Linked DNA regions of Struthio camelus. The protein of the gene in region 1 purifies or fractionates together with the protein of each later gene. This does not show direct contact. Links are inferred from orthologs where the notes say so. Each region holds a gene or a part of one and is shown in the gene's direction. Other genes may lie near its edges. The genes, in order: MCM7 and CDC6.

Region 1 (14,423 bases):
CAGCACCGGGGTCACCCAAACCCCCCCCCACCCAAACCCCCCCCCCACCCTCACCTGCCCGCAGCGTCCCGGTCCACGGTTGGGAAGAGGCGGAAGGGCAAAGGCGCCGGGATGTCATCCGCCAGCTGGTACTGCATGAGCGTGAGCTGCCCCGGGTGGGGAGGGGGAAAGGGGGTCAGGATGGGTGCCCCCCCATCACCCTAGGGTGCCCCCCACCCATCCGAATCCTCACCTCACCCTGGCTCGGGGTCACCTTGAGCACCCGGCCGCTCTCGAACTCGTCCAGCTTGACGGCGCCGTGGAAGGCGCATTCATCCACGCGGACGGCCGTGCCGTAGCCTTGGTGGGGGGGGGAGGCGATTTTGGGGGCAAAAAAGGACGTTTAGGGTTTTTTTTTCCCCCTTGGGGGGGAGTTGGGGGGGGTGGGACGCACCTCGCACCTCCGACTTGCCCACGCAGAACTCCTCCGTCAGCCCGATGCGCATCTCTGCGGGGACGCGGCGGTGTCACCCACCGGGGTGGCGGGGGGACGGACACGGTGGTGGCGGGTTTTGGGGTGGGGGGGGACACCCAGCCCCGTACACCCAATGCCGCTGGGGACCCCCCCCCCCCCCCCCGCTCACCGCAGCAGCTGGGCACGTAGCACTTGAGGCGAATTTCCCCCTGGACGTCCACCTTCGTGGGTGTCCCCTGGGGACGCGGGGACGAGGGGTGAGCCGGGGTTGGGGGGGACGCGGGGCGTTTTGGGGACATGGGATTCCCCCCCCCCAGGCTGAGGTGTTGGGAGGGGGGACATGGGGGGACACGGGGTGCTTTGGGGACAGGGAACACCCCCAGGCCGAGCAAAGGTGCCTCGGGGGGAGACACGGGGTACGTGGGGCACTTTGGGGACAGGGGACACCCCCAGGCTGAGCTGAGGTGCCTCGAGGGGGGACACAGGGGGGACACGGGGCGCTTTGGGGACAGGGGACACCCCCAAGCCAAGCTGCCTGGGGGGGGACACGAGGGGGACGCGGGGCACTTTGGGGACAGGGGACACCCCCAAGCCAAGCTGCCTGGGGGGAGACATGAGGGGGGACGCGAAGTGCTTCGGAGACAGGGGACACCCCCAGGTCGAGGTGCCCGGAGGTGGGGGGACGAGTGGGAGGGAGGGGACACTGGGGGGGGACGACCGAGCGGTGGCCCCGTCCCCACTCACGTTGGCCGCGATGACCACCGTCAGCCTCTCCACCACGTCCACGAAAACCTCGTTCTTGGCGCCCTGTGGCCGCAGAGACAGTCGGCGGTGACACGGGGACACCCGTGGGGCGGGGGGAGGGGGGACACGGGGACACCCATCGGGTGGGGCGGCAGGGGGGGGGTCCTACCTGCTCCCCCCGAGGTGGCAGCACGGGGCGGCTGGCGGCCGAGCTGGGGGCCACCTTGCTCTGCTGCGTCTCGGCGCCGAACTGCAACGAGGAGGAGGAAGAGGAAGGGGGCGTTCGCCGGACGTGGGTGCGAGGGCACCCATGGGTGGGGTTGGGGGGGGGGGTTGGGTGCTCACCAGCCCGATGGAGCCCAGGTCCAGGAGGCTGAAGGGTTTGGTGGCCACGGGCTCCGTGTGCATGAAGTTGCGCAGCACCTCGGGCGCCGTGGTCTGGATGTAACCGTAGTCCTGGCGGGGGGGGGGGGACACACAGGGATGTCCCCGTGTCCCCCCCTCCCCCAGGGGTGTCCTCAGCCCCTTTGGGTTGTCCCCAGCACCCTAAAGATGCTCCTGAGTGGCCCCCCCCACAAAGGTGGCCCCCCAGCTCTCTCTCTAGGGTGTTCCCACTACCCCCCTCTAATGTCCCCGTCACCCCATGGGGGTGTCCCCACCACACTCAGGTGTCCCCATCACCCCCAGAGCTGTCCCCAGCCCCAGGAGAGTGTCGCTTGGCCTCCCCCATCATGTCCCCAGCTCCCTCTAGGGTGGCCCTGGTCCCCCCCCCCAAGCTGTCCTCAGCAGGGCCACCACTACCCCAGGGTGTTCCCACCTCCCTCTGTGGTGGCTTCAGTCCCCCAAACTGTCCCCAGCAGGGCCACCACCACCACCCCAGGGTGTCCTCACCTCCCTCTGAGGTGGCCCCAGTCTCCCAAACTGTCCCCAAACTGTCCCCATAGTGTCCTCATAGCACCCCCAGCAGGGTCACCACCACCCCAGGGTGTCCCCATCTCCCTCTGAGGTGGCCCCAGTCTCCCAAACTGTCCCCAAACTGTCCCCATAGCCCCCTCAGGGGGTCCACCACCACCCCAGGGGGTCCCCACCTCCCTCTGAGGTGGCCCCAGTCCCCCAAACTGTCCCCATAGCCCCCCCAGCAGGGTCACCACCACCCCAGGGTGTCACCACCTCCCTCTGAGGTGGCTCCAGTCCCCCAAACTGTCCCCAAACTGTCCCCATAGTGCCCCCAGCAGGGTCACCACCACCCCAAGATGTCCCCAGCTCCCCCCGGGGTGGCCCCTGTGTCCCTCCCAAGGCATCCCCAGGGACAACCCCACGCCCTAGGGGTGTCCCCGTCACCCCGTAGGGTGTCCCAAGGCGCCCACCCACCAGCATCTCGTCCAGGAGCTCGTAGACGAGGGCGAAGTTGAGGGCGACGTTCTTCTCGCTGAGGGTCCCGCAGCAGTCCCGCAGCAACGTCACCAACCTGCGCCGGCGGGCCGTCAACGGGTTCCCCCCACTCTGCCGCGTCCCCTCCTGTCCCCCGGTGTGTCCCCCCCACCCCCCGAAAACCCCCCCTCCCCATACCTATTGAGGAACTCCACCAAGGTGAAGGGCGACGCATCTGGCGCGGCGGTGGCCACCACGTAGAGCCCCGCGTGCCGCACGTGGACAAAGTGCCGGCCCTCGTGCACCTGCGGAGGTGGCGGGTGGGTGGTGGGGGGGGCGAAACGGAGCTGGGAAGGGTGCTGGGACCCCTCCCCCACCACCACCCCGTTTCAGCACCCTACCACCACCCTCACCATGAAGACGGGAGCTTGGTCGCCCGGCAAAGCCGTGATCTTCTTGTAGAAGGTGTCGGCGAGGTCCTGGCTGGTGGCACCGGCCTCGCCACGGACCGGTCTGCGGTTAAGGAGAAGCAGAAGAAGGTGGGGAGCAGGGGGGGCAAGGGGGACCCCTCCCCAACCTCTCACCCCATCCCACCCACCCAGCACCCACGCTGGAGCAGGATACAGTCCTTATGGATGAGGCGGTCGCCCTTGGAGGAGAGGATGAAGAGCTGGGAGAGCATCGCTGGCCTGGCGGGAGGCGGAGGGGGTGGCTCGAGTGGGACCCTCCCCCCCTTCCTTCACCCCGAGACCCCCCCCACTCACCCTCTGGCCACCTTTGGGTGCTACCAGGGCTCTGCACCTTCGAAAGAGCTCTGCGCCCTCCAGGTCCTGCTCCCCACCCCACCAGGACCCAGCACCCATCAAGTGCCCCTTCATCAAGACCCAGTACCCCCAGACACCCCCATCCACCCCCCCCACACCCAGCACCCCCCCAAGGCTCCAGCACCCCCAGAGCCCCCCATCCACCCCCCCAGCACCCCCCAAGTGCTCCCCCATCAGGACCCAGCACCCTCTGACCCCCCCCATCCCCCCCCATCCTCCAGCATCCCCCCCAAGGCCCCAGCACCCCCCAAGTGCTCCCCCATCAGGACCCAGCACCCCCAGACCACCCATCCATCCCCTCCAAGGCCCCAGCACCCCCCAAGTGCCCCCCATCCACCCCCCCAGCACCCAGCACCCCAAGGCCCTAGCACCCCCAGAGCCCCCATCCACCCCCCCAGCCCCCAGCACCCCCCCAAGGCCTCAGCACCCCCAGATCCCCCCATCCCCCCTCAGCACCCAGCACCCCCCCAAGGCTCCAGCACCCCCAGAGCCCCCCATCCCCCCTCAGCCCCCAGCACCCCCCCAAGGCCTCAGCACCCCCAGATCCCCCCATCCCCCCTCAGCACCCAGCACCCCTCCAAGGCTCCAGCACCCCCAGAGCCCCCCATCCCCCCTCAGCACCCAGCACCCCAAGGCCCTAGCACCCCCAGACCCCCCATCCAGCCCCCAGCACCCCCCCAAGGCCCCAGCACCCCCCAAGTGCCCCCCATCCACCCCCCCAGCACCCCTCCAAGGCCCCAGCACCCCCAGACCCCCCCATCCACCCTCCCCAGCACCCAGCACCCCCCGGCCCCGCCCCCCCGCAACCGCGGCCCCTTTAAGAGGGGGCGGGGCCAGGGCCCCCCGCGGGTCTCCCCGAACCTCGGTCCCGTCCGGCCGCGCGGGGGAAAGCGGGAGTCACGTGACGCGGCCCAAAGGAGGCGGAGCCCGCGCCGGGCCGCCTCGCCCCGCGATTGGGCGGGGCCGCGCGGGGCGGGGCGAAGGGGGCGAGGCCGGCCCCGGATTGGCCCGCGGGCGCCACGTGAGGCGCCTTTTCGCGCCACTTTTGGTTGCGGCGGCCGGAGCCGGAGTGGCGGCGCTCAGCGGCGTTGACCCCTGCAAGGTCCCGTACCGGGCCGCCGAACCGTGAACGCGACTGACCGGGCTTGACCCTTACGGCCACCCGTCACTGACCCTTGCCGCGACCCGTACCGACGCACAGAACCGGAGCCTCACTGATTGGGCCTCACCCCTACGGGCACCCGTACCGGAGACGCCGAACCGGAACCACACTGACCCCCACCGGTCCCCGTAGACCTCCCCGCCATGGCACCGCGCGATTACACCGCCGAGAAGGGTACGAAGACCCCCCCCCCCCGGAAGCCGGGACCGGCAGCGCGGGGCACTTCCGGGGTCGGGCGACCACCTGTGGCTTTGTTTACCGGGCCCGGGGGAGGGGGGGCGTGGGGACACCGGGACACCGGGCCTGACATGTCCCCTCCCTCCCGCAGATAAGGTGAAGCGCTTCCTGCAGGAGTTTTACCGCGATGGCGACTTGGGCAAGGAGTTCCCGTACCGGGACCAGCTGGTGAGAGATGGGGCAGCACCGGGCCGGGGTGGGGGGACCCTCGGGGGGGGGCTATTCCCGCCCCTGTCCCCCCACGGAGCCACCGGTGACAGCGCCGTGCCAGATTGGGGTCCCTTGTCCCCTTAGAAGAGCCATGGGTGCCACCATTGGGCTGGATGGGGGTCTGTCCTTGTCCCCATTGCGCTGGTAGCGTCACTGGGGGGACCCATGTGTGAGATCGGGGGTCCCTCGTCCCCCTAGAAGAGCCACGGGTGCCACCACTGGGCTGGATGGGGGTCTGTCCTTGTCCCCATTGCACTGGTAGCGTCACTGGGAGACCCATGTGTGAGATTGGGGGTCCCTCGTCCCCCTAGAAGAGCCACGGGTGCCACCTCTGGGCTGCATGGGGGTCTGTCCTTGTCCCCATTGTGCTGGTAGTGTCACTGGGAGACCCACGTGTGAGATCGGGGGTCCCTTGTCCCCCTAGAAGAGCCACGGGTGCCACCACTGGGCTGGATGGGGGTCTGTCCTTGTCCCCATTGTGCTGGTAGTGTCACTGGGGGGACCCACGTGTGAGATCGGGGGTCCCTCGTCCCCCTAGAAGAGCCATGGGTGCCACCTCTGGGCTGGATGGGGGTCCGTCCTTGTCCCCATTGCGCTGGTAGTGTCACTGGGAGACCCACGTGTGAGATTGGGGGTCCCTTGTCCCCCTAGAAGAGCCATGGGTGCCACCTCTGGGCTGGATGGGGGTCTGTCCTTGTCCCCATTGCGCTGGTAGTGTCACTGGGGGGACCCATGTGTGAGATTGGGGGTCCCTTGTCCCCCTAGAAGAGCCACGGGTGCCACCTCTGGGCTGGATGGGGGTCCGTCCTTGTCCCCATTGCGCTGGTAGTGTCACTGGGAGACCCACGTGTGAGATCGGGGTCCCTCGTCCCCCTAGAAGAGCCATGGGTGCCACCTCTGGGCTGGATGGGGGTCTGTCCTTGTCCCCATTGCGCTGGTAGTGTCACTGGGAGACCCACGTGTGAGATCGGGGTCCCTTGTCCCCCTAGAAGAGCCATGGGTGCCACCTCTGGGCTGGATGGGGGTCTGTCCTTGTCCCCATTGTGCTGGTAGTGTCACTGGGGGGACCAACGTGTGAGATCGGGGGTCCCTTGTCCCCCTAGAAGAGCCACGGGTGCCACCTCTGGGCTGGATGGGGGTCCGTCCTTGTCCCCATTGCGCTGGTAGTGTCACTGGGAGACCCACGTGTGAGATCGGGGTCCCTTGTCCCCCTAGAAGAGCCATGGGTGCCACCTCTGGGCTGGATGGGGGTCTGTCCTTGTCCCCATTGCGCTGGTAGTGTCACTGGGAGGACCCATGTGTGAGATCGGGGGTCCCTCGTCCCCCTAGAAGAGCCACGGGTGCCACCACTGGGCTGGATGGGGGTCTGTCCTTGTCCCCATTGTGCTGGTAGTGTCACTGGGGGGACCAACGTGTGAGATCGGGGGTCCCTTGTCCCCCTAGAAGAGCCACGGGTGCCACCTCTGGGCTGGATGGGGGTCCGTCCTTGTCCCCATTGCGCTGGTAGCGTCACTGGGAGACCCACGTGTGAGATTGGGGGTCCCTTGTCCCCCTAGAAGAGCCATGGGTGCCACCTCTGGGCTGGATGGGGGTCCGTCCTTGTCCCCATTGCGCTGGTAGTGTCACTGGGAGACCCACGTGTGAGATTGGGGGTCCCTCATCCCCCTAGAAGAGCCACGGGTGCCACCTCTGGGCTGGATGGGGGTCTGTCCTTGTCCCCATTGCACTGGTAGTGTCACTGGGGGGACCCATGTGTGAGATCGGGGGTCCCTCGTCCCCCTAGAAGAGCCACGGGTGCCACCTCTGGGCTGGATGGGGGTCTGTCCTTGTCCCCATTGCGCTGGTAGTGTCACTGGGAGACCCACGTGTGAGATTGGGGGTCCCTCGTCCCCCTAGAAGAGCCACGGGTGCCACCTCTGGGCTGGATGGGGGTCTGTCCTTGTCCCCATTGCGCTGGTAGTGTCACTGGGAGGACCCACGTGTGAGATCGGGGGTCCCTCGTCCCCCTAGAAGAGCCACGGGTGCCACCTCTGGGCTGGATGGGGGGTCCTTGTCCCCCTCCCAGGCTGAATCAGGCTCTCTCCTGTCACCCGCTGGAGCTGCGGGTGATGCCCCCGTGCCAGCCGGGGGTCCTTCCTCGCTCCCCCAACCCCTCCCACCCTGTCCCCCGCAGGCCGCGCTGGCGCACCGGGACCAGGTGGCCCTCTACGTGGCCCTGGACGACGTGGCCGAGGACGACCCCGAGCTGGCGGACGCCGTGTGCGAGAACGCCAAGCGCTACAGCCGCCTCTTCGCCGACGCCGTGCACGAGCTGCTGCCCCAGTACAAGGAGCGCGAGGTGCCCGAGAGCCGAGGCGGGGAGGTGTGGGGACACCCCGCTGTCCCCTCCTGACACCTTCCCTGTCCCCGTTCTACCCCTAGGTGTCCCGCAAGGACGTGCTGGACGTCTACATCGAGCACCGGCTGCTGCTGGAGCAGCGAGGCCGCGACACCGGTGAGACCCGCAGCCCCCAGAACCAGTATCCCCCGGAGCTGCTGCGACGCTTGTGAGTGCTGAGAGGGGGACCAGGCTGCCACCCCGGTGTCCCCGCCAACCCCATCCCTGTCCCCGAGCGTCCTCGCGAAGCCCCATCCCTTCTTTGCCTTGTTTTTGTCTTGCTTTTTTCTCTAATTCTTATACCTGTTTCCTTTTTAATTCCATCTCCACTTTTCTTTCTTCTCCATCGCTTCTAATTCCCGATTCCTATCTCCTCTGATTCCTCCACCTTAAACCCCCATCCTGTCACCTACGTTCCCCCCTAACCCATGTCCCCATCCCTGTCTTCTTGGTGTCCCCCCTCCTGACCCCCGTCCCTCCCGCCCCAGCGAGCTCTACTTCAAAGCCCCGTCGACAGCCAAAGCCCGCGTGGTCCGCGACGTCAAAGCCGACTGCATCGGCAAGCTGGTGACCGTCCGCGGCATCGTCACCCGCGTCACTGAGGTCAAACCCATGATGATCGTGGCCACTTACAGCTGCGACCAGTGCGGAGCCGAGACCTACCAGCCCGTAAGCTCGGCAGGGACGGGTGGCTCCCGCCAGCCCCAGGGGGAAGCGGGAAGGGGCATCAGCTGAGCTCTGCCGCTCTCCGTAGATCCAGTCGCCTACTTTCATGCCTCTCATCATGTGTCCGAGCCGGGAGTGCCAGACGAACCGCTCCGGCGGCCGCCTCTACCTCCAGAGTCGCGGCTCCAAATTCATCAAGTTCCAGGAGCTGAAGATGCAGGAACACGTGAGGAACACGAAGCGACGGGACGCCACGGCGCGTGGCTCCGGGGCTTTCGGGTGGTGGTGGGTGGGGAAGAGATCCCTTCAACCAGGATCGCAGAGCTGGGAGGGAATTTTGGGGTTTTCCTCAATGACCGCGGTTTGGGCTTTGGTATCCAGCTGAGGACAGAAGGTCCCTTCTTGTCTGGGCCTCGTCCCCGTTCCTCTTTGAGGACGACCCGAGCCTCGTCGAGGAGGCGATGGCATCAACGCAACCCCCTTTCCCTGCCGCCTCTTGGCATTTCTTTTCCTACCCAGTGTTCCAGCCCCGCAGCTGGTTGCTCCTGCACTGGGGAGCCCCAAACTGGTCCCAGTCTCCAGCTGAGCTTTCCCCCAGCGCAGGATAGAGGGGGATAACCCTTCCCCTGGCGCTGTCACTCAGCGCAGAGCTGGTGGCATCGCGAGTGGCCCCTGCAGGCTTCAAGGCGCCAGGACACCTGGGTCATATTTTTTCCCCTCAGTTCGTACTGGTGCAGGGGGTGATTTTTGGTTCGGGGGTGACGGCAGCAAGCTCCAGCTGCGGCTCCCGGCACCCGCATCTGCGGAACGGCCGGTTCCCGGGCCGTGGGGAGGGGACACGACGGCGGAGCTGGGGACCCACCGCGCTCACCCACCGCGCTCACCCACCGCGCTCACCCACCGCCCTCCGCAGACCGACCAGGTGCCGGTGGGGCACCTACCCCGCTCCATCAGCGTGGCTGTGCACGGCGAGAACACCCGCTTGGCCCAGCCCGGTGACCACGTCAGCGTCACCGGCGTTTTCCTGCCCCTGCTGAAGACCGGCTTCCGCCAGGTCACCCAGGTAAGCGCTGCCGCGACGGGCTGGGGTGGGGGGCTGCGGTGGCCCTGCCCCGAGCCCGCCGTCACCCTCCTGTCCCCCAGGGGCTGCTCTCAGAGACCTACCTGGAGGCCCACCGCATCGTGAAGATGAACAAGAGCGAGGAGGACGAGTCAGGGGCTGGGGAGCTGACCGAGGAGGAGCTCCGACAAATCACAGGTGAGATTTTGGGCGCTGCTGAGCCGTTGGCACCCCGAGATGCACGCGAACTAGGTTTAAAAAACGCCCAGAGCTGTCCTGCAACAGGGCAGCCGGCCGCCCTCAATGCCCTCCCTCGCTCCTTTTGCAGAAGAAGACTTCTACGACAAGCTGGCCTCCTCCATCGCCCCCGAGATCTACGGCCACGAGGATGTGAAGAAGGCGCTGCTGCTGCTGCTGGTGGGCGGCGTGGACCGCAGCCCCCACGGGATGAAGATCCGAGGTGAAGCCGTGCTGCTGCGCGCCGGCAGGGCGTTTGGGTGGGGAAGACGCGGCTCCGAGGGCCTCTTCCCTCTGGCGCGGGAAGGTTTCGGGGTCCGGGATGAGCCTGAGGGGATGAGAAAGGGACTCGCTAGCTGCGACCGAAGGATTCGGGGTGGAGGGATGAAACGGCTCCGTCCCTGATGGCAGAGAGGGACAGTGTCTGCCCTGAGGACTCACCGTTTCCCTTCCCCCCCCACCCAGGAAACATCAACATTTGCCTCATGGGGGATCCCGGCGTGGCCAAATCGCAGCTCCTGTCCTACATCGACCGCCTGGCACCCCGCAGTGAGTACGGGAGGGCTAGGAAGGGCTGGGACCCCCCCCTTACCGAGCCTCCCCGGGGCCTCTCGCCGCTGTCCCCCATGCGAGGACCCAGCTCTGGTCCCCTCTGTGCTCCTCCAGGCCAGTACACGACGGGCCGGGGTTCGTCGGGCGTGGGGCTGACGGCGGCGGTGCTGCGCGACCCGCTGACGGGCGAGCTGGCGCTGGAGGGCGGCGCGCTGGTGTTGGCCGACCAGGGCGTCTGCTGCATCGACGAGTTCGACAAGATGCTCGAAGCCGATCGCACGGCCATCCACGAGGTGATGGAGCAGCAGAGCATCTCCATCGCCAAAGCGGGCGTGCTGGCCACCCTCAACGCCCGCTGCGCCATCCTGGCTGCCGCCAACCCGGCCTACGGTCGCTACAACCCCAAGCGCAGCCTGGAGCACAACATCCAGCTACCCGCTGCCCTCCTGTCCCGCTTCGATCTGCTCTGGCTCATCCAGGACCGCCCCGACCGCGATAACGACCTGCGGTGAGTCGGGACGGGGAACTGGGGTTGGATAGGGGACCGTGGGAGCTGTGGGACCGGACGCAAGGCCGTGGGAGAATGCGTTTGGGGGAACGGTGAAGCTTGCGTGGGAGCCATGGGGCTGGGTTGGGGGCTGTAGGGTGCGTGCGGGAGCCGTGGGGCGACTCCGGCACCTGCCCCCAACTTTTTTCCGCCCCGCAGCCTGGCCCAACACATCACCTACGTGCACCAGCACAGCCGCCAGCCGCCTTGCTCCTTCCAGCAGCTTGACATGAAGCTCATGAGGTGAGAGCTGCCCACCCACGGACGCTGGGAGGCGATGTGAGGTCCCCTCCGCGGGCCTGACCCTGCCCCTCTCACCCCTCAGGCGCTACATCGCCATGTGCAAGCGGAAGCAGCCCGCCGTGCCCGAAGCTTTGGCTGACTACATCACGGCCGCCTACGTGGAGATGCGCAAGGAGGCCTGGGCCAACAAGGACACCACCTACACGTCCGCCCGCACCTTGCTGGGCATCCTCCGCCTGGCCACGGCCCTGGTGAGCCCCCGTGGCGGGTGCGGGAAGGCAGGGCCGGGCGAGATGGGGTTAAAACAAGGACCTAGAAGGACCTGCGTGGCCTAAGCGAGGCAAGAGGGGACCAGGCGAGGTGAGACAGGGCCGGGCAAGGCAGGACGAGGCTCGGCGAGGTGAGACGGAGCGCGATGGGACAAGGTGAGGTGATACCAGACCAGCAAAGTCCGACCGGCCAGGGTAAAACGAGGCAAAAACAGGCAGGATGAGCCCAGGCAAGGTGGGGAGACCGAGCCGGGCCAGCCCTCGTGGTCCCACGGAGCTGCAGCGGCCGTCGGGTCACCGTGCCGCGTCCGTGTCCCTGTCCCCGACGAGTCCCGGGGGCCCCAAAGTGCTGTTTGTGCAGGTAGTGTGTGTGCGGCATCTACTGCCGAGGCAGCACTCCAGAGCCCCCGGGGCACGGCCAGCACCGGCACGGCTCCCAGCGTCCCTTCCGGGGATGTGGCCAGCACCAGGGCCGGCTCCTGCCGTCCCTCAGCGTCCCCTGCGCCATCCTGGAACGTGGCGCCGGTTTGGGGACTGAAGTGGTTTGGGGAGCACCTCGGGGCTGCGATGGGGAGCCCTGGCAGGCTCTGTGGCTGTGCTGGGTGATTTTTGGGGTGCCCCAGGGCTGTGGGGGGGCTGCTTTGGGGACCCTGGTGGCTGCTGACCCCCTACCCGCCCCTCTTCACCCTGTTTATTGCAGGCCCGGCTGCGGTTGGTGGACACGGTGGAGAAGGAGGACGTGAACGAGGCCATACGGCTCATGGAGATGTCCAAGGACTCGCTGCTGGGGGACAAGGGACAGCACAGCCGGTGAGCAGGAGGGGGGCCACGGGGAGGGGGAGGTGGCGTGACCCTGGCCCCATGTCCCCCAGGAGGCCGTGGGGTGGCCAGGGAGGCGGTGGCAGCACTGGGACAACCGTAACCCCGTCCTCTGGGTGGCCATGGGGTGATCAGGGAGGTGGTGGCCATCCTGGGACAGCCCTGACCCCGTCCCCTAAGTGGCCAGGGAGGTGGTGGCTGTCCTGGGGCAGCCCTATACCTGTCCCCTTGACCCCTGGGCGGCTGTAGGATGGCCAAGGAGGTAGTGGCAGCGCTAGGGCAGCCCTGACCCCATCCCCACGTCCCCTAAGTGGCCAGGGAGGTGGTGGCTGTCCCGGGGCAGCCCTATGCCTGTCCCCTTGACCCCTGGGTGGCTGTAGGACGGCTAAGAGGAGGGCGGCAGCCCAGACCCTCTCCCCAGGGTGGCTGGAGGGAAGCCGGGACAACCCTGACCGCATCCCTGGGGCGGCCGGGGTGACAGCAGCTACCCTGACCCTTGTCACCTGTCCCCAGGATGCAGCGGCCAGCTGACGCCATCTTTGCGGCGGTGCGGGAGCTGGCGGGGGGCCAGGGCCGGGCGGTGCGCTACGCCGAGGCCCTGCAGCGTTGCCTGGCCAAGGGCTTCACGCCGGCGCAGGTGCAGGCGGCGCTCGACGAGTACGAGGAGCTCAACGTGCTGCAGGTGAACCCGGCCCGCACTCGCATCACCTTCGTGTGACGCGGGGACAACCTAATGCCCTCCCCTCCAAGTCCTCCTGCCACCCGACAGCAGCCCCCTGCGGCACCTTCGTTTGCCACCGGGACGCGTCCTGGCGTTACCTGACATGGGGACATTCCCCCCCCCCACCATCACCCTCGTCTGACACAAGAACGTGTTCTCCGTCACCTTTGGGTGACGCAGGGTCATGCGGCGATGTCCCCTTGGGGGGGATGGGACAGGCTCTGGCTTTGTGGCACTTCCGTCACCTTTGCCCTGTCATCTTCTGGTACTGTTACAATTTCTCTCCTGTTTCTTATTAATAAAAACCTGCTTCTTACTGATTTTGGAGCCAGGGTCGTGGCTCCCTTGCTGCCACCATCTGCCTGTCACCGCTTTCGGGGACCCGTTCCCTTGGGGACAGCCCTGCCACCGCAGGGAGGGTCACGGGATGGACAAAGTGACACCACCGGAGCCCTTAATTCCTGCCCCGGAACCGCGTTTTATTAGGGAGGGGACGCGTGGGGACTGTCCCCTTGCGCCTTCCCCCCCCACCCCCAGCTCCAGGGAGGAGGGACACAGTTCTGGGAGGAAGAGGGTGTCCAGGGGTTGGGGGAGGGGTCTTCCTTTCCCCCTCCCCCTCCACTAGAAGAAGAGCCCCCGCATGCGGCGCCCGATGCCTTGGCGGTCGTAGAGGATGTTGAACTTGTTGACGAACTGGTTCATGGTGTTGCAGGTCTTGGTGATGGTGCCCAGGTAGGCCATGAGTCCCACGTCGTTGCATTGCTGGGGACAAGGCGGGGGGGGACACGATTGGGGGGGGGTTAGCGAGGCTGTTGTCACCCCAAAACTACCCCATGGTCCCCCCCGATGTAAATACAGCCACAGGGGGAGGGACAAGGATGTCCTGAGCACCTAGTAGCGGGATGTGACCCCCCCTTCTCACCCACCCACCACGGAGGATTGGACCCTCCCAGGTGCTTCCTAGGGACAGGGACACAAGAGAGGGACACGGGGACCCCCAAAACGGGTCGCTCACGTCGTAGAAGTCCGTCTTGAACTTGTCGGTGCTGAGGACGGGCAGGCAGTGGCACAGGGCGTAGGCCTCGCGCAGGATCTCGTGGTTGAAGGGCACCTCGCCTGCGGGGACCCACGTCAGCACCCGGCATGGCCCTTGTCCCCTTCGGGGACACCTCTGTCCCCCCTTTGGATCCCCAACTCACCGGCTTCGGAAGCCCGCACGTACTCCAGGATGAGCTTGACCCGGCTGTGCAGCATCTTGATGGCGCTGTGCTGGGCGATGAGGTGCTCAGCCACTGCGGGCGCGAGGTTGGGGGTCAGGGCCAGGTGTCCCCTAGGTCCCTCGTGTCACCCCTTCCGGCCCTGCCAGGACCTGCTCGCCTCGTCCTCGTGTCCCCTTTTCCAACTGTGTCCCCGTGCTCCCTCGCAAGCCTAGCTCATGGCACCTGGGCTGTGTCCCCCAGCCCCTGCGCCCCTGTCCCCCCCCCCCCGTGTCCCTGTCCCCCCTGTGTCCCCCCCTCCCCGTGTCCCCAACCTGTGGAGTTCTCCCCGCTGCCGGTGGCCGTCATTCGGGCCACGTGGTCGACGCCGATGCGCTCGGCCTCCTCTGTGGCCAGTGTGTAGGTCAGCTCCGCGAACAGCATGGTGGCCTGGGGTGGGGGGGCGGAAGGGGGGGGTGTCATGGGGATCCCTAGCAGTTCCCCCCGCCCAAACCCCCAGGCAACCTCCCTGGGTGCCCCCTATGACCCCAAGCAACCTCCTTGGCCCCCCCCCGACCCCCAAGCAACCTCCTTGAGCCCCCTGAACCCAGCAGCCCCCCCCAGACCCCCAAGCAACCTCCCTCAGCCCCCCATGACCCCCAGCAGCCCCCCGACCCCCAAGCAAACTCCTTGGACCCCCTATGACCCCCAGCAGCCCCCCCGAACCCCAGGCA
Region 2 (14,079 bases), on another chromosome or scaffold:
GCTCTGAGCTGCGCCTTGGCTGTAGATAGGACAGGGTTTCTGCCCCATCCTCCAGGAGGGTAGTGTAGGACTTGATGGCTGGGGCAGCCAGGTTGCTCCATCTTGTAGAGGCATCTTGGAGAATGCTGTTTCCTGGCAGACGGTTGGGCTGCCTGTTGGCTCAGCAGAGGAGCAGGGTGTGGGACTGGGAAGATGGAGTCGGGCTGTGCTCTGTGCATTGAGGTATCCATGCTTATATGCAAGCTGCTGCTGAGCTGTTTCTTGTCTCCAGGCAAACACAGAGCCGCCAAAATTGAGCCGAGAGGAGCAGCGGGGGCGTGGGGCCCTGCTGCAGGACATTTGTAAAGGGACCAAGCTAAAGAAAGTCACACAAATCAATGACCGGAGTGCACCAATCCTGGAGAGTGAGTACCTGCCTGGCACGTCCCTGGGATGCTCTCAGCTTCTCTGAGCCCTGTGCTGGGTGCTGCCGTGGCCTTCAGGATGACTTCCTGGCTTCACTCATGTCATTTCCAGCGCCTCCTACTTGGAGGAGGCTGATAACACTGGACCTAACCTCTCTGCTTCTCTCTTTCCAGAGCCCAAGAGTAGTGGAGGCAGCAGCTATGGTTCTGGCTCAGCTGTGATCCAGCCAAAAGGAGGCCTCTTCCAAGGTGGTGTCCCCAAGCTCAGACCTGTAGGAGCAAAGGACAGCTCAGGTAATGGCCACGTGACCGTGCTTTGCCCTGGGAAGATCCCTGAGCAGAGAAGGGTCGAGGATCTTGCTGGGTTTGCCTGGAGGTTTCAGCTAGCTAAAGAGAGGGACCCCAAATCAACCTCCCACATGTTGCCACGGGCAAGCTGTGTTCTCTGTGCTGTACTGTCCCCATAGGAATAATCTCTTTGGAGGGCCTGGGAGTCATATGTGTTGTTGAACACTTCTGTCTATTTTTTGTGGCAACCTGCCTTCCAGCAAGCCAGAGAGCGAATAGCAGTGGTGAGAGAGGAGCTGTGTGTGGTTGAGAGCGGTGCCAGCTCCCTGCCTGTGCCAGACAGTGTTCCCCGAGGTCTGGCCCTTGTCGGTAGAGTGGGCAGGTTGCCACGTGCTGCGCGCAGGCTCTGGGATGAAGCATTGTCTGTTGCTCTCGCTGATTCTCAGCCTGTGCTGGGTCTGGCGAGTCACTCTGCTTTCCTTCCACCGCAGACAGCTCCAGTAAGCAAACCCTGCAAGTCCCCGGCTCCAGAGCAGCTGCCCCCAGGCCCCCGGTGCCCACCAGCAACAGCCGACCTCAAGATGATTCTGACAACAGTCGGGCCTCTCCCCCAGAGCTGCCGCGCATGCAGAGGCCCTCCCTGCCGGACCTCTCCCGGCCCAACAGCGCCGGCAGCACCGGCATGAAACACAGCTCATCCGCCCCGCCGCCTCCCCCGCCGGGCCGCCGCGCCGCCGCACCTCCCGCCCCCCCTCCTGCGCATGGCACCAAGGTGTCTTCCTACAACCGGGAGAAGCCCCTGCCACCAACCCCGGGACAGCGACTGCCTGTGAGCAGGGATGGACCCCCCGCCCCGCCACCCATCAAGCCCCCTCCTTCCCCCGTCAGCATCCGAACGGGATCGGGGGCTCAGAGCCAGTCTCTCGCGCCGCCGCCGCCTCCCTATCGGCAGCCCCCGGGTGTCCCCAACGGCCCTTCTAGCCCCATCAATGAGTCTGCCCCAGAGCTGCCGCAGAGACACAACTCGTTGCATAGGAAGACGCCGGGCCCGTTGCGAGGTCTCGCGCCGCCACCGCCTGCTTCAGCCTCCCCATCTCTCCAGAGTAGTCGCCCCCCTCCGCCGGCCAGAGACCCCCCCAGCAGAGGAGCAGGTAAGAACCTTTTGCTCTTTTAGTCCCAACTCCTTTGCGCCTGAGACTGAGAGCAGCCGTTGTGGGTCAGACTGGGGTCGCCTGCCCGTGGGGGTGGTCTGATGGCTGGCAGGAGATGCCTGGGGAAGAGTCAAAGCCGGGACACAGCGAGGTTTCTCCTGCACACGGCAGTCAGTGCAGTGGTTGCCTGAGCCAGAGGCAGTGTCTTGGACTGTCATGTTCAATAGATGTCCCTGGTCATGTCCTCTATTTATCCAGTTCCTTTTGTGCCTGTTGTTGGCGACGGGTTGTAGCTTGGCAGTTCTTGCACTTGAGGTTGGTGTGTCCTCCTGGGGGCTGGAGCCTCCCCCTGAGGTGGGAGGAGAGAGTACAACGGAGCCGGGCCTGTGCTGCGGTTTCTCTTCCTATGTCACCGAGGCAGTGACAGAAAGCTGCGGCAGAGCAGGGAGAAACGTTTCACCTGGCTACGCAGCAGGGAGAGCGTCCTGCAGAACCCAGAAAGTGTTCTGCCCTCTTTGTGGGCATCACGGCTGGTTTCAGCGCTAGGTGGTTTGAAGGACAGCTGGCGATAAAGGCTCTGTCACCTCTGATGCAGGTGCTGGGATTTTGGTGTCAGGCACCCTGACGGAGCCAGGCCATTGCATCAGGCCCCCTCTAAAGGAAGGCGGCACGTTCCCGTGGCCGATGCTGCTTGGGAAAATGTCTGAGCTCCCAGAGGCTGGCTGTCTCCCTGTCCCGTTGCTACCTGGGTGACTCAGTGGAGACCACTTGCTGTTCTCCCCGTGCACGGAGCTGGGTGGGAGTGTGTCGCGCTGCTGGGCATGGTGATGGCTTTGCCCCAGTGCCCCCGGTCTCCTGCGCGCTCCTGGGCTCTGCGTCCAGACCGCAGCTCCTGCCTGGTCCCCTGCCAAGCTGCTCTGTCCTTCCGGCCCTGCCGGAATCCCTCCATTGAGTTACAGCTGGGGATCTGCTGTGTTAGTCTGTGTAATTAGCCTAATTAGGAGCATGAACTGCCCCTGTGCATTGGTGGGAGGCTGGGCAGGAGTGAAAGGTGGGTCAGAGGGGCTGTGGGTCCTGTTAGTGCTTTGGGAGCCTACACCTTGTTCGCAGTGTTGCCTCCCTGCCGCGGCAGATGATGTCTTGCCTCCATGCAGGGCCGCCCGCTCTCAAACCCTCGTGTGTGCGTGCTTATAACAGCGCTTGGCTCCTCTGCGGTGCAGAGAGTGACCTGGGTCTGAAGCCGCGAGTCTGCCCTGCCTTGCCAGGGGATGGAGCTGTGCGCGGCTGCGATGGGCTGACAGCAGAGCCGCAGCGTGTGCCCGTGCCGCGGCTCGCCAGCTGGCCTGCTCCGGGCACAGGGCAGCGGCACGCGGTGGGGCTCCGCTGCGGGATTGCCTAGGCGCCCTGCGCAGTGGGGATGCTTTCTGGTAACAACGCGGGTTTAGACACAGGCTGCCCGGCAGCAGGGCACAGGGCTCGTGCCTGTCCTCCGAGACAGCGCGTGGCTGGCCGAGGGGGTGCTGGCAGACGTGGTCCCCTCCCCCGGGAGGTGAGGCCGCGGGCTGGGGGTGCACGAGGGCCGGGGCAGCCCGCTCAGGGTGGGCTGGCCCGCACGGCCTTGTGCCCTCGCAGCACTTCACCTGGTCCCCGTTTGCAGTGAGCCGGGAGGTGGCTGCGGGGCCAGCTGGCCTCCGGGGCTGGCCGCGCTCTGGGCAGGCGCCTGGCAGGTCCCCGCCGGAGCTGATGGGGAGGGAGGAATGCAGATGTCGGGAACGCGCAGGAAATCTCTGCTGGACGTGAGCTAGAAACATCCCTGGGCCGCAGTGCTGGCTGCTGGCGCTCTCCAGCTCAGCAGCTGGCCTGGAAAGCTACCTTGGAGGGTGTCCTTGGCCCCGCTGCCGAGGGGAGGGTTTGCCCTAGGGATGCCTCGTCTTGGCAGGCCGCCGCTGTCCTCACCCTTGCCCTCTGCGGGCTGCGTCGGTGCTGACACGGGTTTCCTTGCAGCCCCGCCGCCCCCACCGCCGATGCTGCGTAACGGTGGGCGAGACGCCCCACCGCCCCCGCCCCCTTACAGACTGCACGGGTCCGCCGAGCCCCCGAGCCGAGGGAAGCCGCCGCCGCCGCCCACGAGGACGCCGGCGGGGCCGCCCCCGCCACCCCCGCCAGTAAGGAATGGCCACCGGGACTCCATCGCCACCGTCAGAGCTTTCCTGGGTGAGTGAGGCCCCGCTGCGCTGCTGTTGGGCTGTGGATAGTGTTGTTGTAGGCCCCGCACAAACGCAAGCAGAGTGCTGCTCCCTGGCAGTCGGCAAACCTCGGGTGAGCCTGCGCCTGGCAGCAGAACCAGCTCCCCAGGGGTCTGTGCCAGCCCTGGGGGAAGGGACTGAGCTGGGAGTGCCCATGTTTATCCTCAGGCCATACGTGAGGGGAGAGAAGAAATCCTTTGTGTGGACATGCCGCCCCTTGTTGCCTCCTCAGCTGCTAACGTGAGAGAGGCAGAGACCTCTTGTCCAGCAGAGGAAGCTGGGGGTTGTAGAGCTGAGAGGGGAGGGACAGGACAGGATGCTCCTTGGGCTGCTTTATCCTGGCTTGGTGCTAGGCTTGGATCCAGAGGCACAAAGGTCCAGGCGCTACATGCTCATCGGTGACTGCTGTTCTCACCCGGGGCAGAAAATTGGAAACAGGAGGAACCGCAGGAGCTCCTGGGGGCCAGGCGCTGGCGTGCATGGCTGAGCCCTTCTGGCAAGGTCGACTTCAGTTGTGCTCGTTCAGAGCCACCCTCCCTGACCCACTTTTCCTCCTTCTCTGCAGATGACTTTGAATCCAAATATTCCTTTCACCCTGTCGAAGACTTTCCAGCCCCAGAAGAGTATAAATACTTCCAGAGGATCTACCCCAGCAAAACAAACAGAGGTAAGGGAAGAGCTAGTCTGCTGTCCTGCGTGGCCTGACTCCCCTCGAGGGTGCTGCTGGTGACAGGAGCTGACAGCGATGGAGCCGTGGCCACCCACCATCCCCTCTGTCAAGCCAGCCAGGGTAGAGCGTGCAGGGAGGCTGTGCTGGTGCTGCTGCTGAGCCGCCCTGGGTCGTGGCTTCAGGGGCTCTCCTGATCCTTGGCTTTCTCCGCGCAACAGCGCGGCCCTGGGGCCTGCACGTGCTTCTCAGGGCACTGAGCCCTCGAGGCAGCATGCTTCACCCTGGGCGGCCCCAGGGATTTGGGCTGGGAGAATGTCCTGTCCTACCTGCACTCTGCTGAGCCTGTGTGCAGAAATGCTTTAGGGCTTTTTCCTGGCCTTTGGTGCTGGAGCAGTTATAAAAGGACTCCAGAAGCTGGCCCTGCAGCTGAAATGCTGGTATTAGGCAGGCAGTGGAAGGGTAAAGAGCTGCTGTGCAAGCATTGGAACAGGTCAAACCGAGAGGCCCTGGGCAGAAGTGCTTGGATCTGACACTTCTGGGAGCCGGTTCCTCTCCCAGCGCAGCACAAAGTGCCCTTGCTGTTCTGCTGCTGCGAGTCAGCCCTGCAGATCCAGGAGGAGAGACTCAAGGGAGAACGGGATGCTCGTTTATTTTTAGAATGATAAATGTTTAATGTGGATTTGAAAAGCCCTGAGCTTTCCATGCATGCTGCAACGGCTGGTTCTCGAGTCGCAAATCCCAGGCTTCGGGCCTCGGCGGGGAATACGAGCAGGGGGGGCAGCAGCGTGGGCTGACGCGAGGGTGTGGAGGAGGGTAAGCAAACGTGCCAGGTGCCGCTCTGTTAACCCCCGAGGCAGCGATCCTCCGAACTGGCCCTGGCAGCCAGCGAGGAGGCTGGGGAGAAGCCGACACGTGTTAGCAGTGCCAGGCTTGCTGCCCCAGCAGCTGTGCGGGCAGTCTCCGCGCGGGTTCTGATTTCAGTGGGCCTTCTTGTCTTGCAGCTACCCGTGGGGCCCCCCCTCTGCCTCCCATCCCCAGGTGAAAGTGAGCTGTGCAGGGAGGTTGTTCCTGAGCAAAGATACGGACCTACTTCCCCTTCCTCAGATGGATCCTCCCCACCTCCCTGCCCTCTAGGAACCTGCATGAGAAACTCCCAGCGTCTTTGGTTTTCCCAGCTGTGCAAGGAAGAGCAGATAACTCCAGCTCAGCTGTCTCTGCCAGCCCACCTTCATCTATGCATCTCACCCTGGACTTGGTGACCTTGCTGGCAAGCCCGGATGGGCCCTTTCCTCCGCGCTCTCGTCGCAGATCCTGGATTGTGTCGGGACGGCGCTTCCAGCTGTGGTCTGGGCATCCAGGCATGAGAACTTGGGGCAGACGCCGAACCGCGCCGAGACCAGTTGATGGTGTTGGGACCAGAACCGGCTCAGTGCCCCTTTTTCCTCTGGGCTAAGGCAGGCTGAGGGTGTTGTGTGGGCTTGGAAAGGAGCTGGGGTAGGTCACATTTGCAGAGGGGTACAGGAAAAGGGGCGTCTCTGAGGGCGCTCCATCTGGGACACTCATGGGCAGAAATGCTGCGTATTAATCCATTAAGCTAACAGCGAAACGAGGAGGAGCAAGCAGAATGTTTTGTTACCCAAACACAGCAAATTGCTTTTTTGCACAGGAGCCAGTGAAGGAGCACGTGACGATCAGGACCATCCAGTCAGAGCCTGATGGTGCTGGGCTGCGCAGCCTGAGCCGCAGGGAGGCCAGAGGCTGCTCTGGGCAGGGACTGATCCGCAGCCGTAAGCAGGGACTGGGAGCAGGGGGCCGTGAGGCAGCTCGGCGGGGAACCCGCAGCCTTCCCTGCTGCTCTGCCTCTGCGCTCCCGCGCAGGGGACGTTTCCCCGCGGCTGCGCGACTCCCTTCGCCGTGCCCTGTCCTCGCACGGGAGCAGTCCAGCGGTGTTTCACCCCCTCGCGTGACGCAGCCAACCGGCGGGATGCCAACCCCTGCCGGCGTGTTTTAACCCAGTGGCAGCGGTGGAGGAGGGAGCCGTCCCTGCCGGGAGCCCCGCGCGCATCCCGCGCTTGGCTGGGCACCGCTGACCGCCGGGAGAGCCCTGCTTTTAACGCTGAATTACCAAACAGAGAATTTTAACAGGAAGATGCTACTCGTCGTCCGTGGAAGAAGCAGAGAGATGCGGGGTTTTTTGTTGCTGTTTTTTGTTGGTTTTCTCTTTAATGTGAGAGTGGAGAGCATTGGGGGAGTGGGAAGGGGCCTGCGCCAGGTGGCCTGGCCCAGCCGCTCCAGCGCCGGGTTCGTGCTCCTGGCGGCAGCGCCGGGGACCCTCGTCTCTAGCTGACGTTTTGCCTTATTTACACTACTTCTGTCAGACTGTTGGTACCAGGCTGGTTTCTCTGTGTATTTACTCGCAGTACCGGGGTGGGCTTTACATTAATCATAGTTACTGATCTATTTTGTACGTTGTAAAAAGCTTGTAATATAGGAGGAAGGTGGGCTCGTGGCAGGTGTACTAAACCCCTCACCTTTAACTGCTATTTTTTTTTTTTCTATGACGATGGAAACTTACCCTTTTCACGGGGGCCCTAGGCAGCACTCACGTTGAGGGACGTTGCCTGGCCCAGGGAAACCTTGGGGTTCGGTTTGGTTCGTTTTCCCCCGGAGGACGGGCCAGCCCAGCACTGCAGCTGGGGCAGGAGTTCATGCACTGTGCTGTTTTGTTTAAATAAAGGAGGAAAAAAAAAAAAAAAAAGGTTCTCTCTGTACCGTTGGCTCCTACCCCCTGTGTGGCGGCAAAGGGGGCTCTTTTAAGAGGGAACGGAATAAAAAACACAATAAGCTTGAAATTGCATTCAAATAAAAGTGGTAAAGCGGCCCATCTGCTCAAGGGTGAGGTCTGGCCCTCTGCTTGGCTTGGGGGGGTCGTTAGGGTGGGGGGGGTGCTGGCCAGGTGCTGCAGCCCGGGGCTGTGCCTCAGTTTCCCCTGGGTGAGCCCCAGTGAGAGGCAGGGCTGGGGGCCCTGGGAGCGGGACGGGGGGTACTGGGGGGCACTGGGAGCGGGACGGGGGGGTACTGGGGGGCTCTGGGGAAGAGGCAGGCCGGGGGGGGGCAGTGGGGGGGGCGTGGCCATGGTTTCCCGCCTCCACTTGGCTGCACTACACCTCCCAGCGTGCCTCGCGCGCCTCGGACTACCACTCCCGGCACACCCCGCGCGCGTGGCCTCCGATTGGCTCCTCGCGGCGACCCCCCCTCCCCCTCCTCGCGGCGCTTGGCGCGGAGCTCCGCGATTGGCGGCGGCGGCGGGCGGCGGAGCCAATAGGGAAGCGGGGGCGGGGCCGGGCCGGCTTGGTGGCGGGAAGTGCGGAGCTGCGGCGGAGTTGGCGCGAGAAGGTGGGTGGCGGTGGGGCCTGGGGGGCCGGGGGGCAGGGACGTGGGGCAGGGTGGGGGGAATGGGGGCAGGGACGTGGGGCTGTGGGGCAGGAGCTGGGGGGAATGGGGGCAGGGACGTGGGGCAGTGGGGCAGAGCTGGGGGGAATGGGGGCAGGGACGTGGGGCTGTGGGGCAGGGATGGGGGGGAATGGGGGCAGGGACGTGGGGCTGTGGGGCAGGGATGGGGGGAATGGGGGCAGGGACGTGGGGCTGTGGGGCAGGGATGGGGGGGAATGGGGGCAGGGACGTGGGGCTGTGGAGCAGGCTGGGGGGAATGGGTGTAGGGACGTGGGGCTGTGGGGCAGGAGCTGGAGAGAAGGGGGGCAGGGACGTGGGGCTGTGGGGCAGGAGCTGGGTGGTATTGGGAGCAGAGACGTGGGGCTATGGGGCAGGAGCTGGAGAGAAGGGGGGCAGGGACGTGGGGCTGTGGGGCAGGAGCTGGGTGGTGTTGGGAGCAGAGATGTGGGGCTATGGGGCAGGAGCTGGAGAGAAGGGGGGCAGGGACGTGGGGCTGTGGGGCAGGAGCTGGGTGGTGTTGGGAGCAGAGACGTGGGGCTATGGGGCAGGAGCTGGAGAGAAGGGGTGTAGGGACGTGGGGCTGTGGGGCAGGAGCTGGGGGGAATGGGGGCAGGGACGTGGGGCTATGGGGCAGGAGCTGGAACAGGTGGGGCAAGGCTGGGGGAGCAGAGGGATGGGAGCAGAGATGTGGGGCTGTGGGGCAGGACAGAGCTGGGGGGGGTGAGGAGCAGACGTGTGCCACCATGGGGGGCGGAGAGGTGGGGATGTGGGGTGGGAGGAGGTGGGGGCTGGGGCAGAGAGGTGGGGGTTCGGGTGGGGGTCAGCAGGGCAGAGCCGTGGGGCACTCCCCCGCCTGACCCACGCCGTTGCCCCGCAGCCGCAGCCATGCCCAGCACCAGGTCGCGGAGCCAGGCCGCCATCGACTTCCCCCGCCGGAAGAGCGCCCGGACCCCGGCCCGGCTCCCGGCCAAGAACCGCGACGCCCCGGCCAGCCCCGGCCCCGGCTCCGGCCCCGGCAGCGCCGCCGACCCCTGCGCCCTGCGCCTGGCGCCCTGGCCGAAGGACCCGGCCCCCGGCGCGGCCGAGCCCGGCCGGGCTGCTCTCGGCGCGCTCTCGCCGCGGACCAAGGCTTCGCCCCTGAGCCCCCGGAAACGCCTGGGTGAGCTGCCAGCGCCTCCTTCCCCGGGGGGAGCTTCGGGGCTGGGGGTCCCGGCCCTACGCCGGGCCTCTTTACCCCTCCCGTTGCCCTCGCGCAGCTGGAGTGTCGGTGAAATTTGTGATTTCTTGTTTTTCTTTTCTCCCCGTCTCCGGGGAGGAAGCTCTGCGGCAGGACCCCGGGCTGCTCCGCCGCGTGCAGCCCGCTCGGGAGTCGCGAGGAGCGAAGCCTCCCTGCGTTGCCCCGCTGCACAACGCCCTTGGCTCTGGTGCGACCCCGCCGCAAGGGAGTTTGGGGCCGTCTAATGGTGGCAGCTGCTGGCGTGGGCGGACAGAGCGGCTCCGAGCTTCGCCCTGCGGAGCAGGATGCGGTGCCGGACCATCCCGGGGGGCCGCGTCCTCGCTCCCTTCCGCAAAGCCCCGTTCCCCCAGCGCAGGCTTTTCCGGGCGTGGGGGATTGCGCAGGCCGGGGCTGAGCCCGCGTCCCCGCAGGGCTCTTCTCCACGGCAGGCGGATTTCACGAAACATATGCAGATATTTAGCTTGAACCCCTTCATGTTGCCGTTTCCCGTTTGTTTCTGAATTCCTCCGGGGTGCCCCCTCCCCGGTGGCCCCCAAAGCAGGCCCGCGGCCCCCGCTGTAGCTGGCCCTTCTCCGAGGACGTCGGTGCTTTCCCTGCCGCGCCGTCGTCCCCGCTGACCGCGGCGCGTCTCCCCGCAGGCGACGACAACTTGTGCAACATCCCGCACACGCTGCCCTGCTCGCCCACCAAGCAGAGCAGGAAGGAGAACAAGGGGCGCCGCTTGCTTTTCGGGGAGCCGTCGGCCCCCGGCTCCCCGGAGAAGGGGAGCGACCCGGGCCTCTCCCCGCGGCGCCAGGGCCAGGAGACCCCCCGGAGCTCGGAGCTCGGCCGGGAGCCCGTCTGCACCCGGCTCTTCAGGCAGGAAGGTGAGTGCTGGCGCGCCGAGGGGGACGGGATCCCCCCGGAGCGCGGGAGCCATCTCCCATACCTCCCTTTCCCCGGCGCAGGCTCTTGCTACCAGCAGGCGAAGCGCGTGCTGCACACCGCCGTCCCGGAGTGCCTCCACGCCAGGGAGAAGGAGATGAGCGTCATCAAGCGATTTCTGAAAGAGCATGTCTGCGGGGGGAGACCCGGCAGCCTTTACATCTCGGGAGCCCCTGGAACGGGGAAAACGGCCTGTCTGAGCAGGGTCCTGCAAGACTACAAGGTTTGTCACGGTTTTGGGGGGCTCTTTCCTCCAGGGGCCGAGGTCTTTGCTACAGCTGAAGCTGGAACAAGCTCACCTTTTATGAGGCTGGTGTTTTTCCCTGCGTTTAGCGGTCATGGTCTTGCTGCCTGGGGAGTATTTCAGGGCAGTCTGGTGCTAGGGTGGAAAGTTTCTGGTAGGTTTGGAGTAGCTTGTACAAGTGGTTTGGAACAAGCAGGAGGAGATCTTGCTTTTCTGCGCATTTGCAATAGCTTTTTCCACTCACTGTAGCTCAGCTGCTTTGGTTTGGAAGCAGAGCGCCTTGGGTCAGTTAACAGCCATTTCTGTACACAGCGTTATCCCTGCACGCGCAGCAATTGCTGGGTTCCTGCTGCAGAGCCTGTTTCAGTGTCGGGTCCGGAGCAGGCTGCCCGGCCGTGTGCATGGCGGGGCGAGACGGGTGCAGCCTAGGGGGGCTGGCAGAGCAGGGGAGAGCCGGGAGGGAGCTGCGCGAGGAGCAAGAGCCGAGCGGGGGAGAGCTCGGACTCGCTGCAGCGTCTCCCTGGGGAAGGGGGGCGGCTGGACGCAGACGTCCCCACGTGAAGCAGGCTTGCGGAGCCGCGTGTCCTGGCCACGGCTCTGCTCCGCTGTCTGGCTCTGCCGCCAGAGCTCTGCCGTGCCCAGCGGAGCCGCCAGTGCTGCAACTCTCCCATGTCTCTGTCTGGCAGGGCGAACTCACGAGGAGCAAAACCGTCATCCTGAACTGCATGTCCCTCAGCAGCTCGCAGGCCGTCTTCCCAGCCATCGCGGAGCAGCTGGGCCTGCAGGCAACGGCCAGGGTGGCCGGGCGGGAGATCGTGAGGAAGCTGGAGAAGCAGCTGACAGCAAAGGGGCCCATGGTGTGAGTTGCCCGCGCTGGGCGCCGCTTGTGGGCTGCTCTTGCTGCGCTGGAGCTGCCTCTCGCATCTGGGAGCTCGGGGTGGCCCTCGCCTTGGCCTGCTGGGACACATGTCCCCTGTGCGGGGTTTCTCCTGAGAGCTTTGATTTCTCTGAACGTGCGAAGCAGGTCGCAGAGGTAGTGGGAAAAGCCGGCCCTTATCCTGCTCCTGCGGTCCCGGCTGCGCCGTGGCGGATTTGCCACCCGCCGATGCTCGGGCTGCCTCGCGCACCCCTCCGGGGCTGACCTGAGCTTTCCTCTCCGCTGCGCAGCTTGCTGGTGCTGGATGAGATGGACCAGCTGGACAGCAAAGGGCAGGACGTGCTGTACACCGTGTTCGAGTGGCCCTGGCTGGCCGGCTCCAGGCTCGTCCTCATCGGTGAGTGTCAGCCGCGTGGCGACGTTTGCCCCATCCGACGCCCGGAGCTCCCTGCACGCGTCCGCGAGGGTGGCACAACTCGGCGGCGGAGCAGCGCTCGGTGCTTTAGACGCAGCCTTTGCGCAGCTCTGTCGTCCCCGGCCGCACGCTCCCCTCCTTGGGAAGAGCCCGCGTAGCTCCAGCCCGGGCAGGTGCCGGCCTCCCTCGCCGCCGCTCTCAGCGAGCTCGCTGTGCTTCGCAGGGATGGCCAATGCCCTGGACCTCACGGACCGCAGCCTGGCCCGGCTCCAGGCCCGGCCGACCTGCCGCCCCCAGCTGCTCACCTTCCCGCCTTACACCAGGGACCAGCTCGCCTCCATCCTGCACGAGCGCCTGAAGCAGGTGAAAACCGAGGCAACGGGGCCGCTTCTCCGGGCAAAGCTGGCAGGGGCTGCGGCGATCCGGCCGAGCCGCGCGCGTGGCGCTGACGCTGCCATTAACCGCGCGAAACGGGCTTCCGCTGCCGGGTTACTCCCGCCACGGGCTGGGCGGCCCGTTGAGCCGGCGCCTCGGGCGGAAGGGGGCCTGCGCCCTTCCCAGTCCTGCCGGTCGCTCTGCCGGCACCTCGGGGAGACGGGGCGAGGAAGCGGCGAGGTCCCGGCTGCGATGCCGCGAGCGGCGCTCTGATGCCCCAGCCCACGTGGCAGGAGGACTTGCCGGCTGCCCTGGGCCGGCCGCAGGGGTTATTTGCCGTCCCGGCAGCGCTGGGTCGTGGGAGGCCTCTCGCGTAATCGCGCTGCGTTTCCTCCGCAGGTGGCTGGTGACCCGGTCCTGGACAGCTCTGCCGTCCAGTTCTGTGCCCGCAAAGTCTCCGCGGTCTCTGGAGACGCCCGCAAGGCCCTGGATGTCTGCAGGTAAACGCCACCGCGCGGCCCTGCCTCCTCCAAAACCAGGCCGCTTCCCAGCGGCGCCGGCGAACGTGACTGCAGGCTCCGTTGCCGCTCGGCGCCCGAGCAGCGGGAGCGCTGCCGCCTGGCCCCGCTAATGGGAGAGCTCTTTGCAGTCCATTACCTATGGAGGGCGAGGCGAAGGCGCTGCCGGCCCTCCCCGCTGTGACTATAGATTGGTTAATTACATCTGTATTGCAGAAAGCCCCATTAGCAGCTCCCAAGCCGGTTTCTTGATGAAGCTGAACCAGTTTTTTGCCTTCAGAATTAGCTCTTCCCCTCCCCGGTCCGTCGGTTCGCGGGCAGCAGGGGTTCCCCGGCCCCTCTGCCGCCAGCCCGGCGCTGCTCGCTGCCGGGGATGCCGTGCCGAGGGCAGCCGCGCTGGAGCGGCCAGGTCGGAGCTTCCCGCTGCCGCGGGAGCGCTGCCAGGCCGCGCCGGCGTGGGCCGCGGGCCAGCTGGGCGCAGCGAGCGCCGGGCTTTGACCACGGGGTTTGGCCCGGGCTTCGGGCTGGGAGGAGCCGGGAGGCGAACAGAGATGTCTGGAGGCCGCCGGCCGAGGAAGCGGTCCAGACCCTGAGCCCGTCTCCTCTTACGGCTGCTCTTGGACATGGAGGCCGGCTTCTGGGCTGCTCCTCTCCCAGCCCCGAGCCCCCTCGGTCCCTGCAGCACCTGGAGCGTTCAGTCTCGTTAGGGCAGCGCTTAAGGAGGCGGAAATGAGTTGCTCTTAATGTGCTCTGCGCCGCTGCCTGCGTCCCCCCGCATCTCGCTGCGGCGCCCTCGGGGGCTGCTGTCCCCGCGCCTGCCGGAGGGGACCGGATCGGCCCCACGGACGGTGTCCCGTCCTGCAGGACCCATGGGGGACGTCGCCGTGAGCTGGAGCCAGGAGGGGGAGGATGGCCGTGGCCAGAGGCCGCTGGGCGGGGGACGGGTCGGGATGCTGGTGCACGCGGAGCCGAGCGAAGGCCAGGAGGGGTTTGGGGATTTCAGCTCCTGGCTGCTTTGGCCGACGTGACCTACGGGCACTGTCTCCTAGGCGAGCCGTCGAGATGGTGGAGCGGGACGTGAGGAGCCAGACCGTCCTCAAGCCGCTGCCTGGCTGTGAGTAGCTGCCGCCCGAGCCGCAGCGCTCGGCGCTTCTCCTCCCTCTCTCTTCGACAGCGGCTGCAGCCTTCCTTGCCGGGGCCAGTCGGGGTGTTCCCGGCTCCCCGGGGCCCGGCACGCGGTGCGTTTCCCGTCCGGCGCTCGGGAGCGCGACGGGGGG

The links.
Region 2: the proteins of MCM7 (region 1) and CDC6 purify together in Homo sapiens (affinity purification with western blotting; 3 studies listed by BioGRID). This does not show direct contact. The link is inferred for Struthio camelus from reciprocal best matches to the Homo sapiens genes MCM7 and CDC6.

Annotation. Positions count from the first base shown.
Region 1 is NC_090978.1:593,077-607,499, forward strand, and holds MCM7 (DNA replication licensing factor MCM7), read left to right. Parts: upstream 1-4,358; 5' UTR 4,359-4,698; coding exon 4,699-4,729; intron 4,730-4,883; coding exon 4,884-4,960; intron 4,961-7,175; coding exon 7,176-7,340; intron 7,341-7,423; coding exon 7,424-7,548; intron 7,549-7,867; coding exon 7,868-8,048; intron 8,049-8,133; coding exon 8,134-8,271; intron 8,272-8,958; coding exon 8,959-9,108; intron 9,109-9,188; coding exon 9,189-9,303; intron 9,304-9,433; coding exon 9,434-9,565; intron 9,566-9,807; coding exon 9,808-9,891; intron 9,892-10,008; coding exon 10,009-10,402; intron 10,403-10,600; coding exon 10,601-10,684; intron 10,685-10,766; coding exon 10,767-10,935; intron 10,936-11,653; coding exon 11,654-11,763; intron 11,764-12,285; coding exon 12,286-12,490; 3' UTR 12,491-12,813; downstream 12,814-14,423. Other genes in the region: AP4M1 (AP-4 complex subunit mu-1), read right to left, coding at 55-146, 233-339, 434-487, 624-690, 1,199-1,261, 1,368-1,448, 1,544-1,654, 2,570-2,666 and 3 more; COPS6 (COP9 signalosome complex subunit 6), read right to left, coding at 13,115-13,255, 13,509-13,609, 13,693-13,785, 14,025-14,139. UniProt on the Homo sapiens protein: Acts as a component of the MCM2-7 complex (MCM complex) which is the replicative helicase essential for 'once per cell cycle' DNA replication initiation and elongation in eukaryotic cells.
Region 2 is NC_090966.1:6,883,561-6,897,639, forward strand, and holds the start of CDC6 (cell division control protein 6 homolog), read left to right. Parts: upstream 1-8,074; 5' UTR 8,075-8,155; intron 8,156-9,089; 5' UTR 9,090-9,097; coding exon 9,098-9,371; intron 9,372-10,087; coding exon 10,088-10,315; intron 10,316-10,396; coding exon 10,397-10,596; intron 10,597-11,303; coding exon 11,304-11,476; intron 11,477-11,784; coding exon 11,785-11,891; intron 11,892-12,132; coding exon 12,133-12,272; intron 12,273-12,683; coding exon 12,684-12,784; intron 12,785-13,851; coding exon 13,852-13,916; intron 13,917-14,079. Other genes in the region: WIPF2 (WAS/WASL-interacting protein family member 2), read left to right, coding at 272-404, 579-698, 1,184-1,843, 3,848-4,057, 4,655-4,756, 5,761-5,801. UniProt on the Homo sapiens protein: Involved in the initiation of DNA replication. Also participates in checkpoint controls that ensure DNA replication is completed before mitosis is initiated.